4 linked regions of the Saccharomyces cerevisiae S288C genome follow. The protein of the gene in region 1 interacts with the protein of each later gene in a biochemical or structural test. Each region holds a gene or a part of one and is shown in the gene's direction. Other genes may lie near its edges. The genes, in order: PAH1, YCK1, TPK2 and SPO7.

The links.
Region 2: of the proteins of PAH1 (region 1) and YCK1, one has a biochemical effect on the other in vitro, tested with the Saccharomyces cerevisiae proteins (2 studies listed by BioGRID).
Region 3: of the proteins of PAH1 (region 1) and TPK2, one has a biochemical effect on the other in vitro, tested with the Saccharomyces cerevisiae proteins (one study listed by BioGRID).
Region 4: of the proteins of PAH1 (region 1) and SPO7, one has a biochemical effect on the other in vitro, tested with the Saccharomyces cerevisiae proteins (2 studies listed by BioGRID, with this or other methods).

Annotation. Positions count from the first base shown.
Region 1 is NC_001145.3:588,971-594,749, reverse strand, and holds PAH1 (phosphatidate phosphatase PAH1), read left to right. Parts: upstream 1-2,121; coding exon 2,122-4,710; downstream 4,711-5,779. Other genes in the region: MME1 (Mme1p), read left to right, coding at 277-1,383; MSS11 (Mss11p), read left to right, coding at 5,200-5,779. UniProt on the Saccharomyces cerevisiae protein: Mg(2+)-dependent phosphatidate (PA) phosphatase which catalyzes the dephosphorylation of PA to yield diacylglycerol. Required for de novo lipid synthesis and formation of lipid droplets.
Region 2 is NC_001140.6:372,194-376,797, reverse strand, and holds YCK1 (serine/threonine protein kinase YCK1), read left to right. Parts: upstream 1-2,487; coding exon 2,488-4,104; downstream 4,105-4,604. Other genes in the region: ARO9 (aromatic-amino-acid:2-oxoglutarate transaminase), read right to left, coding at 1-1,089; SPL2 (Spl2p), read left to right, coding at 1,698-2,144; metalloendopeptidase WSS1, read right to left, coding at 4,240-4,604. UniProt on the Saccharomyces cerevisiae protein: Casein kinases are operationally defined by their preferential utilization of acidic proteins such as caseins as substrates.
Region 3 is NC_001148.4:164,300-168,619, forward strand, and holds TPK2 (cAMP-dependent protein kinase catalytic subunit TPK2), read left to right. Parts: upstream 1-1,956; coding exon 1,957-3,099; downstream 3,100-4,320. Other genes in the region: serine/threonine protein kinase HRR25, read left to right, coding at 1-1,461; AFT2 (Aft2p), read right to left, coding at 3,789-4,320.
Region 4 is NC_001133.9:134,276-137,854, forward strand, and holds SPO7 (Nem1-Spo7 phosphatase regulatory subunit SPO7), read left to right. Parts: upstream 1-1,578; coding exon 1,579-2,358; downstream 2,359-3,579. Other genes in the region: MDM10 (Mdm10p), read right to left, coding at 1-1,390; FUN14 (Fun14p), read left to right, coding at 2,639-3,235; ERP2 (Erp2p), read right to left, coding at 3,423-3,579. UniProt on the Saccharomyces cerevisiae protein: Regulatory component of the NEM1-SPO7 complex which acts as a phosphatase and dephosphorylates the phosphatidic acid phosphohydrolase PAH1. Essential for the formation of a spherical nucleus and meiotic division.

The DNA of each region.
Region 1 (5,779 bases):
CTCCTCAACTATAATGAAACAGCAAGCGGTCTCAAAAGTCTTTGGCAATAGCAGCGCCTCCTACACTATCTTTGCATGCAATAGAAGGTATCACATTCCTATTTTTCTTGCGATTGAACTCTAACTTGACATCTCTAGGACCCTACAACGATAGCGACTTCTTACATTGTGTTCATTAATTTGAAAAAACATCAAAGCAAGCCGAAAACAAACGCTGAGTATTCTAACGAAGCACGCATAATAATCTTCACTTCCAACCGACTGGTATAAAAGATAATGAACTCATGGAACCTGAGTTCTTCAATACCGATAATACATACGCCTCATGACCATCCCCCGACATCAGAAGGAACTCCAGATCAACCAAATAATAACCGAAAAGATGATAAACTGCACAAAAAAAGAGGCGATTCAGATGAGGACTTAAGCCCTATATGGCATTGTGTCGTCTCCGGTGGGATTGGTGGAAAAATAGGAGATTCTGCGATGCATTCATTGGATACTGTTAAGACAAGACAACAGGGCGCACCCAATGTCAAAAAATACAGGAACATGATCTCTGCATATCGTACCATTTGGCTAGAAGAAGGCGTGAGAAGGGGGCTATACGGCGGTTACATGGCTGCCATGTTAGGCTCCTTCCCGTCAGCGGCAATCTTCTTTGGGACCTATGAATATACTAAGAGAACAATGATAGAAGATTGGCAGATTAACGATACCATCACACATTTGAGCGCTGGATTTCTTGGCGATTTTATCTCCAGTTTTGTTTATGTTCCATCAGAGGTCCTAAAGACAAGGCTACAATTGCAAGGAAGGTTCAATAATCCTTTCTTTCAATCTGGCTATAATTATTCGAATTTAAGAAATGCCATAAAGACAGTTATAAAAGAAGAAGGGTTTCGCTCACTATTTTTTGGATACAAAGCCACTTTAGCCAGAGATTTGCCATTTAGTGCATTGCAGTTTGCCTTCTACGAAAAGTTTAGGCAATTGGCTTTCAAGATTGAACAGAAAGATGGTAGGGATGGTGAGTTGTCTATACCTAATGAAATATTGACTGGTGCCTGTGCAGGTGGACTGGCGGGAATCATTACCACACCAATGGATGTTGTTAAGACTAGAGTCCAAACTCAACAGCCGCCCAGCCAAAGCAACAAATCATACTCAGTAACACATCCACATGTAACAAACGGCAGACCGGCAGCACTTTCCAACTCGATTTCGCTCAGCCTTCGGACGGTCTACCAATCTGAAGGTGTGTTAGGTTTCTTTAGTGGCGTTGGCCCTAGATTCGTCTGGACAAGTGTTCAGAGCAGTATAATGTTGCTTCTGTATCAAATGACCCTACGCGGATTAAGTAACGCATTTCCAACGGACTAAGAGCCTGATTTCTGGCTCATCTAACTCTCTAGAGGATAATTTTATGTGATAAAACTTTTCCTACAAGCGGCTACAATAAAGACAGTACAAGGGACCTCACCCTATTCGCCATCACTGCACATCACAGTGGGTCTTGTACTTATCATTTCACATACATAGATATAGGTTCTTCCGAATAAGTTTTGTATATAGTCATTTACGGCAAGAATACTCATCTAAGTTTAATACGCATTTCTCTCTTCGTTCGCAGTTCCTAACACTGAGCGTTCTTGTTTGGAGGGCTCGTTTAAAAAAAAGTCTAACAAATGTGACAGATTTGCTTGAACAGGGTCCAAACTCATCTTGTATATCATAACACTACATCACTGGGAGACAAAATCGAAGTGCCCACGTGCTGCTCATTCTCTAAACGGTCTGTCGCGGGCCCTTTTCGTCCTTCGGTTTCCCTCCCTTTAGACAATGGGCTCTCTTTTCTCTATTATCTATCTCTTTTTCTCGGCTTTTCCGGCCAGCGTTGAAAGCAGCGCACGGTGAGGGTAGAAGGAAGAGCAAGGACAAGTGAAGAGTAGGCCATCGTGGGGGCTTGTGTTTATAAAGAAAATACATTCAACAATTTAGTAAAACGTGTTCAAGAAGTGTTAATCAGACCAATTGGACACTACACCTTCGTAATCACAGTTTTACCTTCTAAGAAACATACAGGGAAGAAATTACTGAAGATAGACACATCGGTCGATTATGCAGTACGTAGGCAGAGCTCTTGGGTCTGTGTCTAAAACATGGTCTTCTATCAATCCGGCTACGCTATCAGGTGCTATAGATGTCATTGTAGTGGAGCATCCAGACGGAAGGCTATCATGTTCTCCCTTTCATGTGAGGTTCGGCAAATTTCAAATTCTAAAGCCATCTCAAAAGAAAGTCCAAGTGTTTATAAATGAGAAACTGAGTAATATGCCAATGAAACTGAGTGATTCTGGAGAAGCCTATTTCGTTTTCGAGATGGGTGACCAGGTCACTGATGTCCCTGACGAATTGCTTGTGTCGCCCGTGATGAGCGCCACATCAAGCCCCCCTCAATCACCTGAAACATCCATCTTAGAAGGAGGAACCGAGGGTGAAGGTGAAGGTGAAAATGAAAATAAGAAGAAGGAAAAGAAAGTGCTAGAGGAACCAGATTTTTTAGATATCAATGACACTGGAGATTCAGGCAGTAAAAATAGTGAAACTACAGGGTCGCTTTCTCCTACTGAATCCTCTACAACGACACCACCAGATTCAGTTGAAGAGAGGAAGCTTGTTGAGCAGCGTACAAAGAACTTTCAGCAAAAACTAAACAAAAAACTCACTGAAATCCATATACCCAGTAAACTTGATAACAATGGCGACTTACTACTAGACACTGAAGGTTACAAGCCAAACAAGAATATGATGCATGACACAGACATACAACTGAAGCAGTTGTTAAAGGACGAATTCGGTAATGATTCAGATATTTCCAGTTTTATCAAGGAGGACAAAAATGGCAACATCAAGATCGTAAATCCTTACGAGCACCTTACTGATTTATCTCCTCCAGGTACGCCTCCAACAATGGCCACAAGCGGATCAGTTTTAGGCTTAGATGCAATGGAATCAGGAAGTACTTTGAATTCGTTATCTTCTTCACCTTCTGGTTCCGATACTGAGGACGAAACATCATTTAGCAAAGAACAAAGCAGTAAAAGTGAAAAAACTAGCAAGAAAGGAACAGCAGGGAGCGGTGAGACCGAGAAAAGATACATACGAACGATAAGATTGACTAATGACCAGTTAAAGTGCCTAAATTTAACTTATGGTGAAAATGATCTGAAATTTTCCGTAGATCACGGAAAAGCTATTGTTACGTCAAAATTATTCGTTTGGAGGTGGGATGTTCCAATTGTTATCAGTGATATTGATGGCACCATCACAAAATCGGACGCTTTAGGCCATGTTCTGGCAATGATAGGAAAAGACTGGACGCACTTGGGTGTAGCCAAGTTATTTAGCGAGATCTCCAGGAATGGCTATAATATACTCTATCTAACTGCAAGAAGTGCTGGACAAGCTGATTCCACGAGGAGTTATTTGCGATCAATTGAACAGAATGGCAGCAAACTACCAAATGGGCCTGTGATTTTATCACCCGATAGAACGATGGCTGCGTTAAGGCGGGAAGTAATACTAAAAAAACCTGAAGTCTTTAAAATCGCGTGTCTAAACGACATAAGATCCTTGTATTTTGAAGACAGTGATAACGAAGTGGATACAGAGGAAAAATCAACACCATTTTTTGCCGGCTTTGGTAATAGGATTACTGATGCTTTATCTTACAGAACTGTGGGGATACCTAGTTCAAGAATTTTCACAATAAATACAGAGGGTGAGGTTCATATGGAATTATTGGAGTTAGCAGGTTACAGAAGCTCCTATATTCATATCAATGAGCTTGTCGATCATTTCTTTCCACCAGTCAGCCTTGATAGTGTCGATCTAAGAACTAATACTTCCATGGTTCCTGGCTCCCCCCCTAATAGAACGTTGGATAACTTTGACTCAGAAATTACTTCAGGTCGCAAAACGCTATTTAGAGGCAATCAGGAAGAGAAATTCACAGACGTAAATTTTTGGAGAGACCCGTTAGTCGACATCGACAACTTATCGGATATTAGCAATGATGATTCTGATAACATCGATGAAGATACTGACGTATCACAACAAAGCAACATTAGTAGAAATAGGGCAAATTCAGTCAAAACCGCCAAGGTCACTAAAGCCCCGCAAAGAAATGTGAGCGGCAGCACAAATAACAACGAAGTTTTAGCCGCTTCGTCTGATGTAGAAAATGCGTCTGACCTGGTGAGTTCCCATAGTAGCTCAGGATCCACGCCCAATAAATCTACAATGTCCAAAGGGGACATTGGAAAACAAATATATTTGGAGCTAGGTTCTCCACTTGCATCGCCAAAACTAAGATATTTAGACGATATGGATGATGAAGACTCCAATTACAATAGAACTAAATCAAGGAGAGCATCTTCTGCAGCCGCGACTAGTATCGATAAAGAGTTCAAAAAGCTCTCTGTGTCAAAGGCCGGCGCTCCAACAAGAATTGTTTCAAAGATCAACGTTTCAAATGACGTACATTCACTTGGGAATTCAGATACCGAATCACGAAGGGAGCAAAGTGTTAATGAAACAGGGCGCAATCAGCTACCCCACAACTCAATGGACGATAAAGATTTGGATTCAAGAGTAAGCGATGAATTCGATGACGATGAATTCGACGAAGATGAATTCGAAGATTAAAGATTCTTGTAGCCGAATATTATTTATAACGATCCATACTGCATATTAAGTAAAATTATGAAGTACTAAGTAACAATTTTTCAATTTTATTTAAGAAAAGAGAAGGAAAAAAAAAAGAAGAAAATTTTTTGATAGAAGAAAAAGGTAAACGATGATTGTTACGTACCAAGTGTTCTTCTGAGCTATTTGGTAATTACATACTTCTTCGAAATGTCAAGGTAAATACTTTTCTATACGCACACGAAACTCGCTTGCTGCAACAGGTATTACGTCAGGTGAAAAAAGCGGCCAAGAGGCAATGCCGAAATACAATGCGTGTATAACAGGAAGAGGAGGGGTATAATAAAATCACCATAGTAGAAAAGACCAGAAAGATTTCTATTGCAATCCTGTGTGACTCTTTTGGTTTTTCCCTTTGGTATCTCCCGGTTCTTTTGTCAATTTTTCGTTAAACTGCAGTGAAATAAGAAAAAGGTGCATGATAAAGATATGGATAACACGACCAATATTAATACAAATGAGCGCTCTAGTAACACGGATTTTAGCTCAGCTCCCAATATCAAAGGTTTGAATAGCCATACTCAGTTGCAGTTTGATGCGGATTCTCGAGTTTTCGTTTCGGATGTAATGGCTAAGAACTCTAAGCAATTATTGTACGCCCATATTTATAACTATTTAATCAAAAACAATTACTGGAACTCTGCCGCAAAATTTTTAAGCGAAGCTGACCTTCCTTTATCTAGAATAAACGGATCTGCTTCGGGTGGGAAAACTAGCTTGAACGCCAGCCTGAAGCAGGGATTAATGGATATTGCATCTAAGGGTGACATTGTTAGTGAAGATGGGCTATTACCTTCGAAAATGCTGATGGACGCTAATGACACGTTTTTACTGGAATGGTGGGAAATTTTTCAATCATTGTTCAATGGAGACCTAGAATCTGGGTACCAACAGGATCATAATCCTTTAAGAGAGAGAATAATACCAATTTTGCCAGCTAATTCTAAATCTAATATGCCTTCCCATTTCTCTAATCTCCCACCAAATGTGATTCCACCAACTCAAAATA
Region 2 (4,604 bases), on another chromosome or scaffold:
TGCCTTTATTGTAGAATAAACAATAGCTTGTGAGGTACCACTGGGGGCCCTTGTAGTAATGTCGGCCAAATCCAAGATTTTTTGCAAAAGGAATTTATTAGCAACGATGAAGGATAACCTTAATCCAGGAGCAAAAATTTTAGAAAAAGTCTCCAAACGGATGACACGGGCATCTGTATCCAAAGTCAAGAATGATTTCATTAAAAAATCATTCAAATACCGTTCAGTAGTCAGGTCGCTAGAATGGTAAGGGTTTTCTAATGGCTCTTGCGGATTATAGGAAGGAAAGTACAGATAACCGTAGGGATCATCTTCAACAATGAGGAAATCGTGTCTTTGGGCCAACTGGTAAATTTTCTCTCTTTTCCACTGGGGGACAGACATCCCGGTAGGATTTTGGCCCGTTGCAATGGTATATAGGACCCTTGGCTTGTTTAAGTCTTTGTATGGTCCAGTTGACCAATTATCGAGCAACTGCGTTAGATATTCGACATCAATACCCTGGGACTCTCTGTCGAAGGTCAGGTTCATCTTGATGGGGATGACTTTTGCTCCTGTAGCCTCCACATTGGACATAGCCGGGGTGAAAGTAAACTCTTCAATCATCACAGTGGTCGATTCGTCGCAAATTGTTTCAAAAACCTTAAACATTGAATCGTTGGACCCGCCAGAAAGGATGACATCCCAGTTAGACTCCGTCTCATCGGAAAAGGCTGGGCGATTAATTCTGGACACAAAATCTTTAACAAAATGTAAGAGAGGGGGTAAACCCTTGGTTTCTGCATATTGGAAAGAACGTGCAATGGGTAGCTCACTGGGGGATCCCAAGTCCAAATGCGCCGTGGTAAACGAATTATGCCATTTTGGGTTATCATTAAAAGGAACTTTTGATATTTTCAAATCCATAGATTCGATAGGAAAAAATCTCTCGTTTGGCATTCCACCAGCTAGCTCAATGACGTCATCTGAGATATCAGAAGCATCCCAAAAGCTTTTCAGAGATCTATTTTCTACTCTTCTGGAGAGAAACGGTTGGAAGTTCTTCTTTAAGGAAGTGTAATCAACAGGGGGGGCAGAACCAGCAGTCATTGAGTCGATGAGAGAGTGTAATTGTGGTATGTGTGTATTTTTATGTTTACACTGGGATATTACAAGACCAAATCAAGCTTTTTCCTTTATATATATCAAATATTTATAATGTTTCCTACCCCAATGATGGTTCGGTTATCCGCGGCAAATCTCGGTAAGCATCGGCAATGCTTCCGCGAGTTACCGCTTTTTTTTTTTTATTCCTTTGTTATTATCTACGGCCGTCGGCGGCAATAGTATTTTTGCTCACGTGACCGACAAGGGTCCATTTTATTGCGGTACGGCTCTCTCTTTTTTTTTTTCTCCTCTTCAACTTCTCTCTGATTGCAAACAATATATAACATAACCATGTTCATTACGTACGAAAATATATATACATAAATGCATGGCAGTTATGGCAATTACAACTACAACGCCGTAAAGTTCCAAACGCAGCGGCCTGAGATAGTAAATGATGTACGCACGTGGGCGAAAGTTCATTACTTTGACTGTTGTAACATACCGTATCTCTCTTTTCCCACGTGCTCCGCTCTCTTATCTACCTTGGCGGTACAGCCCTGCGCGGAGTCACTGCAGCCACGTGCCTAGATCTATTACTATGACTTCCCATGGGCACATATACGCCATTAATATACAATATATATAACGTTCATATATGGGTATTTACAGAGAGCCAGGGGCAAATTGGACAGATGTCTCCACGCGGCAAAATGGAAACAGCAGTTTCACAAGGACAACACAAACAACTTAAAGATGGTCACCAGCATAAGGGAAGAAAACTCTCCGAGGAGATCGCTTCTCTATTGAGGCTCAAAGAGTGCAGGAGGCTCAATCCTGCTAGTTACTATACTCCACGTAGAACATCGCAGTCACAATCTCTCAGTGGATCAACTTTTAAAGAGTATAACGAGTACATTAATGAGAAAGATTCAAGTAGAGCGCAGCGTCAAAACGCTGCCGCCGTTTTAAGCAAGCTCGCCCATGACTTTTGGGAGAACGACTGTGTCATTGACGAAGACATATTCGAAGATTCGTCTGACGAAGAACAATCATGATTGCATCTCTTAATCGTTACACATACATACCTTCTACCTCTGTACTGTTACATATGCATTGACTTTACGATCTAATATAAATCCTTTTGATGTTACCCCGCCTGTGGGCTCGTTCTCCTTTCGTTTCTTACGATTTTTTCGCCGGAACAAGAAAAAACAGAACAAAACAAATCAGCGATCGTATACATGGGTCTTTGATTTCTGCTTGCTTCTTACAAACAACAAACGCAAACCGTTCATTGAGTGCTCTGTGACTGGTTTTCATGTGGATGCCATAGTAGAGAAAAGACACATACAAAAATTTCGCGCATTCGCTGGCCCTTTTCCTGCTCTCCTCTTCCCCATGTCCATGCCCATAGCAAGTACCACTCTAGCAGTTAACAACCTCACCAATATAAACGGAAACGCAAATTTTAACGTACAAGCAAACAAACAACTCCACCACCAGGCTGTCGACTCGCCCGCAAGATCTTCGATGACCGCCACGACCGCCGCCAACTCCAACAGCAACTCTTCCAGAGATGACTCTACTATTGTCGGCCTACATTACAAGATCGGCAAAAAAATAGGGGAAGGTTCCTTTGGTGTGCTATTTGAAGGTACTAATATGATCAATGGCGTACCCGTCGCGATCAAATTCGAGCCCAGAAAAACGGAGGCCCCTCAATTAAGAGATGAATATAAAACATATAAAATTCTGAATGGCACTCCCAATATCCCCTACGCGTACTACTTCGGCCAAGAAGGTTTGCACAATATCTTGGTCATTGATCTTTTGGGTCCCTCTTTGGAAGATTTATTTGATTGGTGTGGAAGAAAATTTTCTGTCAAAACGGTTGTGCAAGTTGCTGTCCAAATGATTACTTTGATTGAAGACTTGCACGCACATGACTTGATATACCGTGATATCAAACCAGACAATTTCTTGATTGGAAGGCCCGGCCAACCTGACGCAAACAACATCCATTTGATCGACTTCGGTATGGCCAAACAGTATCGTGATCCGAAAACTAAACAGCACATCCCATATAGAGAGAAAAAATCACTCAGCGGCACTGCCAGATATATGTCCATTAATACTCACCTTGGAAGAGAGCAGTCCAGAAGAGATGATATGGAGGCCTTGGGTCACGTTTTCTTTTATTTCTTGAGAGGCCACTTACCCTGGCAGGGTTTAAAAGCTCCAAACAATAAGCAAAAATACGAAAAGATTGGTGAAAAGAAAAGATCTACTAACGTTTACGATCTAGCTCAAGGCTTACCTGTGCAATTTGGCAGGTATCTAGAAATCGTCAGAAGTCTTTCCTTTGAAGAGTGTCCCGATTATGAAGGCTATAGAAAACTATTACTATCTGTACTGGATGATTTAGGTGAAACCGCGGACGGCCAATATGATTGGATGAAACTGAACGATGGCCGTGGTTGGGATCTTAACATAAACAAGAAGCCAAATCTCCACGGATACGGCCATCCAAATCCACCAAACGAAAAATCGAGAAAACATAGAAACAAACAGCTCCAAATGCAACAGCTCCAAATGCAACAGCTCCAACAACAGCAACAGCAACAGCAATATGCTCAAAAAACTGAGGCAGATATGCGCAATTCTCAATATAAACCAAAGTTAGACCCTACTTCTTATGAAGCTTACCAGCATCAAACCCAGCAGAAATACCTGCAAGAACAACAAAAGAGACAGCAGCAACAAAAACTTCAGGAGCAACAACTTCAAGAGCAACAATTGCAACAGCAGCAACAGCAACAGCAACAGCTACGTGCAACAGGCCAACCTCCATCTCAGCCTCAAGCGCAAACTCAATCTCAGCAGTTTGGCGCTCGTTATCAACCACAACAACAACCTTCTGCTGCTTTAAGAACTCCTGAACAGCACCCAAATGACGATAATTCAAGTCTAGCTGCTTCTCATAAGGGCTTTTTCCAAAAATTAGGTTGTTGCTAAATATAGAAATGACATTTTTTGCAAGACTACCGTCTTTCTTACATTTTTTGTAATGTGAATATATCTGTATACTTTACAACCGAAACGACATTTACCATACTTATAATTTTCGAGTTCTTCGCTGTGGACAAGAGATTAAGTGAGATCAATAACTTCGATAAGAGTATCTCCCGGGAGTACCTCGTCATCATCATCAAGGATTACAACTTCTAAGGAGCTGCTAATATTATCACTTATTATTTGATCTTTGTTATTCTTCGTCTCTCCGCACCAGCGATCATCTCTATATCTCCTTTCGGCTGCAAAAGCCGCCAACTCTCTCGGGGAATTACCTCTATCTATAGATGATATACCCTCTGGATGCAAACTCCCTAACTTCACACCTTTGCCCCTTTTTCTCACTATCCCTGTGTTAGTACTTATTCCTGTCATAGGATATCTATTTGAACGTAAGTTTGCTCTTCCACCGAGACGTTGACCGTTCCCCAAAAATGTGTCGT
Region 3 (4,320 bases), on another chromosome or scaffold:
TTTCGTATTGGCAGGAAGATTGGGAGTGGTTCCTTTGGTGACATTTACCACGGCACGAACTTAATTAGTGGTGAAGAAGTAGCCATCAAGCTGGAATCGATCAGGTCCAGACATCCTCAATTGGACTATGAGTCCCGCGTCTACAGATACTTAAGCGGTGGTGTGGGAATCCCGTTCATCAGATGGTTTGGCAGAGAGGGTGAATATAATGCTATGGTCATCGATCTTCTAGGCCCATCTTTGGAAGATTTATTCAACTACTGTCACAGAAGGTTCTCCTTTAAGACGGTTATCATGCTGGCTTTGCAAATGTTTTGCCGTATTCAGTATATACATGGAAGGTCGTTCATTCATAGAGATATCAAACCAGACAACTTTTTAATGGGGGTAGGACGCCGTGGTAGCACCGTTCATGTTATTGATTTCGGTCTATCAAAGAAATACCGAGATTTCAACACACATCGTCATATTCCTTACAGGGAGAACAAGTCCTTGACAGGTACAGCTCGTTATGCAAGTGTCAATACGCATCTTGGAATAGAGCAAAGTAGAAGAGATGACTTAGAATCACTAGGTTATGTCTTGATCTATTTTTGTAAGGGTTCTTTGCCATGGCAGGGTTTGAAAGCAACCACCAAGAAACAAAAGTATGATCGTATCATGGAAAAGAAATTAAACGTTAGCGTGGAAACTCTATGTTCAGGTTTACCATTAGAGTTTCAAGAATATATGGCTTACTGTAAGAATTTGAAATTCGATGAGAAGCCAGATTATTTGTTCTTGGCAAGGCTGTTTAAAGATCTGAGTATTAAACTAGAGTATCACAACGACCACTTGTTCGATTGGACAATGTTGCGTTACACAAAGGCGATGGTGGAGAAGCAAAGGGACCTCCTCATCGAAAAAGGTGATTTGAACGCAAATAGCAATGCAGCAAGTGCAAGTAACAGCACAGACAACAAGTCTGAAACTTTCAACAAGATTAAACTGTTAGCCATGAAGAAATTCCCCACCCATTTCCACTATTACAAGAATGAAGACAAACATAATCCTTCACCAGAAGAGATCAAACAACAAACTATCTTGAATAATAATGCAGCCTCTTCTTTACCAGAGGAATTATTGAACGCACTAGATAAAGGTATGGAAAACTTGAGACAACAGCAGCCGCAGCAGCAGGTCCAAAGTTCGCAGCCACAACCACAGCCCCAACAGCTACAGCAGCAACCAAATGGCCAAAGACCAAATTATTATCCTGAACCGTTACTACAGCAGCAACAAAGAGATTCTCAGGAGCAACAGCAGCAAGTTCCGATGGCTACAACCAGGGCTACTCAGTATCCCCCACAAATAAACAGCAATAATTTTAATACTAATCAAGCATCTGTACCTCCACAAATGAGATCTAATCCACAACAGCCGCCTCAAGATAAACCAGCTGGCCAGTCAATTTGGTTGTAAGCAACATATATTGCTCAAAACGCACAAAAATAAACATATGTATATATAGACATACACACACACATATATATATATATATTATTATTATTATTTACATATACGTACACACAATTCCATATCGAGTTAATATATACAATTCTGGCCTTCTTACCTAAAAAGATGATAGCTAAAAGAACCACTTTTTTTATGCATTTTTTTCTTCGGGAAGGAAATTAAGGGGGAGCGGAGCACCTCTTGGCCAATTTGTTTTTTTTTTATGTAATAAAGGGCTAACGATCGAAGATCAATCACGAATATTGGACGGTTTTAAAGGAGGGCCTCTGAGAAGACAGCATCAATTCGTATTTTCGATAATTAACTTGCCTTATAGTGTCTGATTAGGAAACAATCACGAGACGATAACGACGGAATACCAAGGAAGTTTGTGCAAATATACAGCCGGCACAAACAGCAGCTTCACTCAGGTTAACTCACATACTGTTGAAAATTGTCGGTATGGAATTCGTTGCAGAAAGGGCTCAGCCAGTTGGTCAAACAATCCAGCAGCAAAATGTTAATACTTACGGGCAAGGCGTCCTACAACCGCATCATGATTTACAGCAGCGACAACAACAACAACAGCAGCGTCAGCATCAACAACTGCTGACGTCTCAGTTGCCCCAGAAATCTCTCGTATCCAAAGGCAAATATACACTACATGACTTCCAGATTATGAGAACGCTTGGTACTGGATCTTTTGGTAGGGTTCATTTGGTGCGCTCTGTTCACAATGGTCGGTATTATGCTATAAAAGTTTTAAAGAAACAACAAGTTGTCAAGATGAAACAGGTTGAACATACCAATGACGAACGACGTATGCTAAAGCTTGTGGAGCATCCGTTTCTGATTAGAATGTGGGGTACGTTTCAAGATGCTAGGAATATCTTTATGGTGATGGATTATATCGAAGGTGGTGAACTTTTCTCGTTACTGAGAAAGTCACAAAGATTTCCTAATCCTGTAGCAAAATTTTACGCTGCGGAAGTCATACTGGCATTAGAGTACTTGCATGCTCATAATATCATCTACAGGGATTTAAAGCCAGAAAATATCTTGCTGGATAGAAATGGCCACATTAAAATAACCGATTTTGGGTTCGCCAAAGAGGTACAAACTGTCACATGGACGCTTTGTGGGACTCCTGATTACATTGCTCCTGAAGTTATTACCACAAAGCCATATAATAAGTCGGTGGATTGGTGGTCTCTAGGTGTTCTAATCTACGAAATGTTAGCTGGTTATACACCCTTTTACGATACTACTCCAATGAAGACGTATGAAAAGATTTTACAAGGTAAAGTAGTATATCCACCATATTTTCATCCCGACGTCGTGGATCTACTAAGCAAACTGATCACTGCAGATTTGACAAGAAGAATCGGTAATTTACAAAGCGGTTCCAGGGACATCAAAGCTCACCCATGGTTTAGTGAAGTTGTATGGGAAAGATTGTTAGCAAAGGATATTGAAACTCCATACGAGCCTCCTATCACATCAGGTATCGGTGACACGTCTTTATTCGATCAATATCCCGAGGAGCAGCTAGATTATGGTATTCAAGGCGATGATCCATATGCTGAATACTTTCAAGATTTCTAAGTTCCATGAACCAAAAAACACAAAAACAATTTTCAAGTACTTTCTCTCACTCCTTTTCCTTTCTCTTTTTTCCTCCACCAAAATCTGGCGCACTTTCTTTATATTTTACCTAACGGATGCCTTATTTGTGGTCTGTTTTAAGCTAGTTCATATTGTAAAAAAAGAAAAAGAGATGAGAAGAACAAGCGTTGCCCTAAATATCTTCTATACTACAATTCATTTTAATTCAATATCATATTTAAGTTGAGGGCATTTAGATCTTAGAGATTCATCTAAAAATAGGAGGGGTGATGTATAGAAAATGTTCGAATATCATTCCTCTGCTTTTTTCTATATGATTATTTCCTATATGAGCTTTTACTTACTGATCTCATGATCTCAGTGCAAAAATTAGGGGACCGGCACGCCTGAAAGTTTTTTAGATAATTGAATGTTGCGGTGCATTACCTATGAAAAGATGAAGCGCACGTGAACCATATTATAATCAACAAACTTGAAGAATAAAACTTTTGAGCGCATGAAGCCATGATATATCTTATTTGTATCGACATGCTTTAAGTCCTCCGTAGCTTTAAAAAGTCTAAGGTCCAAAATCCCTCGATGGTGCTGATATCACCATTATTCATGTCCATCAGATCTTGTCACATATTTAAACGTGATACCGTTTTAATGAGTTGAAAACTAAATAATTAATATTTTGATATTAAGGCTGGGTCAATAGAATTTAATTCATTAAAATGCTCATCGTTGAAATGAAGCAACGCTTCGTAGTTGTAGTTTAACATGCCAAAATTTTCGTTTCTCTCTTTGCCTAAGTTCGTAGCAATATCTGTATCAGCAGTTGGTGCGTTGCTTTTGGTATCTTTGGAAACTTTAATGATCTCATCTCCATAAGGAGCGTCTGTTTCCATAAAATTTGGTGAAGATGTTGTTGATTCTGACAGGGCTATATCCATTTTGCTTTGTGACAAGGGCCTCGTTGGTGTTGAAGGAAGTATACAAGAAGAGGACGAAGGACCTGGTGTAGGTTCTGTCAAAAGTTCCATCAGGCCTTGGTTGTAATTTTGGATGAAATTGTCGTTGCAAAACATGTTCGTAAAATCAATTTCGTTTAAGTTCGTTAAAGAATCTTCTTTCTCTATCTTTACACAGGAATTCCGCGTTTTGAAATTGTCTAAAAATCCGGTATCATGTAGATCCGCATCCAACTTCGTTTTCAAC
Region 4 (3,579 bases), on another chromosome or scaffold:
TATCATTCTTTTCATCATCGGATAAACTTTCTTGAAAGCCTCTAGTGAATACCAGCTCTGTCCCGGCAGATATTAAAAATCCCCTCCATTTGCCTTCCCATAATAGTTTTAAAGTCTTGTCACGTAATGACGTGCTTAATTTCCAAACACTGGTAAAAATGGAACTATTTATTTTGTTATCAAATTTTTCGATGGTAGATCTTTCTTCATCGATTTTTCTTAATGACGACGAGAATGCATAAGTTAAATCATTTAATAGCTTTTGTTTGTGAACAGGTATATCTAGTGTAGAAGGAATATCGTTAACAGCTGAATTCAGATCCGGTACATTTTCGTGCAGTAGTTTAGTCGCTCTGCTGTTTGGATTTATATCAACCAATTCGTCGGAGATTGGTTCTAATTTATCATTATTGTTTTTATTGGTTTCAAGCAAATGATGCTTTTTTTGCCAAAATTCGCACCCAAATGAAAGATTTGATTCAATCGAATAAAGATTAAAATCATACTTCGCGCAAAAAGTAGAATTTGTCCCTGTCTTGGCCGAATATGTGGAGGATATATGGCCGAATAATGGATTCCAAGATAATGTCAAAGTTAGTGGTCGTCCTGTGTTTGTAGAATGTGTGTAATATCTTAAAGTTGTCGAACAACCGGGGCTTAAACTTACTAACCCTAACCAAAATTCAGCACCAAGCGACAACGAAGAATTATTGTACAGTGAGGTGTTAAACTTGGAAGGCGTGGTAAGGAAATTGTGTAATACTCTATAACCACATAATAGATCACTGGTGGAAAATATCCACTCCTGTAAATTGCGGTGAGAATCTCTTTGAAAATAGCACGTTAAAACGTTTAAGCTTTCTTTGAAACTACTGACACCCTTAAGCATAAATTGGGTTTGTGGACTTAGTCGTTTTATTATCATTGCTTCTAAATCAGAGCTGGGGTAGTACATTCTACCATAATAAAGGGATTTTTTAACAAATTTCGAGTCATGTAGTAATTTCTTGTCATTGTCGACTGTGGTGTTGTCACTACTCAACGTATTCGCACTACTAACACTGAAATTGAGGTTTGGTTGCAATTGTCTGTATGTTTCGGTGGCATCTTGTAATGGGATATCAGTAGAGTTGCGCATGAATTTCTCCAATTGCTGTGCATCGGAGTATAAATAACTCAGAGAACCATTTATCCTGGACCTCGTAGAAAAATCTAAAGAATTGAATGTATTGGGAGTAGATTTGTTGGAAATTTGCAGGTGTATTGCTGAGGGAATTCGGAAATCTAATAATGTTCTCGATGTGGCCGTTATATCCTCGTAGCTATTTTGCGTACTCCAATGGGTGCTCTGATAAAATGCCCTTAGTACTTGGTCCATATAGGGTAGCATCAAGATCGGTCTTCTCTGTTCGTGTCTTTTTCCTAACGTATATTTGCTTTGTTTCTTCACTCAACAATAAAGTCAAAGTAAAATTAAATACTAATTATTCTTAAAAGGGAAGATGCGAAATTTAGCGAAAATCTATTGATTATACACACAAAGGAAGAAAGGTAGTGGAAAGCTAAATAAAGGAGGTCATGGAGCCAGAGAGCATAGGCGATGTGGGGAACCATGCCCAGGATGATAGTGCCAGTATAGTGTCCGGGCCTCGCAGGCGTTCTACTAGCAAGACATCCAGTGCGAAGAATATACGGAACTCCAGTAATATCTCTCCAGCATCGATGATTTTCAGGAATTTGTTGATACTGGAGGATGATTTAAGACGCCAAGCTCACGAACAAAAGATACTGAAGTGGCAATTCACTTTGTTCTTAGCGTCTATGGCCGGTGTAGGCGCATTTACCTTCTACGAACTTTATTTCACTTCAGATTATGTCAAGGGCCTCCATAGGGTTATTTTGCAATTCACTCTTTCTTTCATTTCCATTACTGTAGTTCTTTTTCATATCAGTGGACAATATAGAAGAACTATCGTCATTCCAAGAAGATTTTTTACCTCTACTAATAAAGGGATTAGGCAGTTTAATGTGAAGCTAGTTAAAGTACAGTCTACGTGGGACGAGAAATACACAGATTCAGTAAGATTTGTGAGTCGAACAATTGCTTATTGTAATATTTATTGTTTGAAAAAATTTCTGTGGCTTAAAGACGATAATGCCATTGTGAAATTTTGGAAAAGTGTCACGATACAATCCCAACCGAGGATCGGAGCTGTGGATGTGAAATTAGTCCTCAACCCCAGAGCATTTAGTGCAGAGATTAGAGAAGGATGGGAGATTTATAGAGACGAGTTTTGGGCCAGGGAAGGTGCTAGAAGACGCAAACAAGCGCACGAACTCCGACCTAAATCAGAATGAAAGAGTTGGAGGGCTTCTTCCTTCGAATAAGAGGTCATATTTACCTATGTAAAATTGTAACCATCTATGTTCACACATAAATTATATTTTATACATTATTAGAAGTGAAGCTGTTGTGTCGTGAAAATTTTACAAATCCGTCATTTCATATTTAAGTTTTCCAACAAGTGCTAGAAAACCTAGGGGTTGTTGAAATTGGTTAAACAAGGCATCTTATTATACATACAACAGCATAACGCTAGAGGGGCAAGAAGGAAGAACTTAAAATAATAGGTGTAAAATGACTTTGGCTTTTAATATGCAACGGTTGGTGTTTCGTAATTTGAATGTTGGGAAGCGCATGTTCAAGAACGTCCCCTTATGGAGGTTTAATGTCGCCAATAAATTAGGAAAGCCCTTAACTCGCTCTGTAGGGTTAGGCGGTGCTGGCATAGTTGCTGGTGGCTTTTACTTGATGAATCGCCAGCCTTCTAAGTTGATATTCAATGATTCTTTAGGGGCAGCTGTCAAACAACAGGGTCCCTTGGAACCAACTGTGGGCAACAGTACGGCAATTACCGAGGAAAGGAGGAACAAAATAAGTAGTCACAAGCAGATGTTTTTGGGATCATTATTCGGTGTTGTTTTAGGAGTTACGGTGGCTAAGATATCAATTTTGTTTATGTATGTCGGTATTACAAGCATGCTTCTTTGTGAATGGTTACGGTACAAGGGATGGATTCGCATTAATTTGAAAAATATCAAATCTGTAATTGTTTTGAAAGATGTAGACTTGAAGAAACTGCTTATTGATGGGTTATTGGGTACAGAATACATGGGTTTTAAAGTATTCTTTACATTGAGTTTCGTATTAGCAAGTTTAAATGCTAACAAATGAGCAAGACAAATGACCAGATATAAACGAGGGTTATATTCTTTCGTTTTATACTTTTTTATTTTTGGTATTTCATTTATCCTATACAGTAAATATACATAGGGCTAAGGAAGAAAAAAAAATCACGTCGAATATAAACCTAATTGTGTTCTATATTGCGGACATATATTTTTCGTAGATTGAAAAGTTCTTAAACGTAATTTTTTTGACGACCAGTGAAGAGGAATTGAATAAGTAGAACTTGGGCAATACTTATAACGGCAATGATAATGATAATCAATATAGATAACCAAGTCAACCTTGATTCGGTGGAATTGACGGTAGACATGTTTCTCCATTCTCTGGCT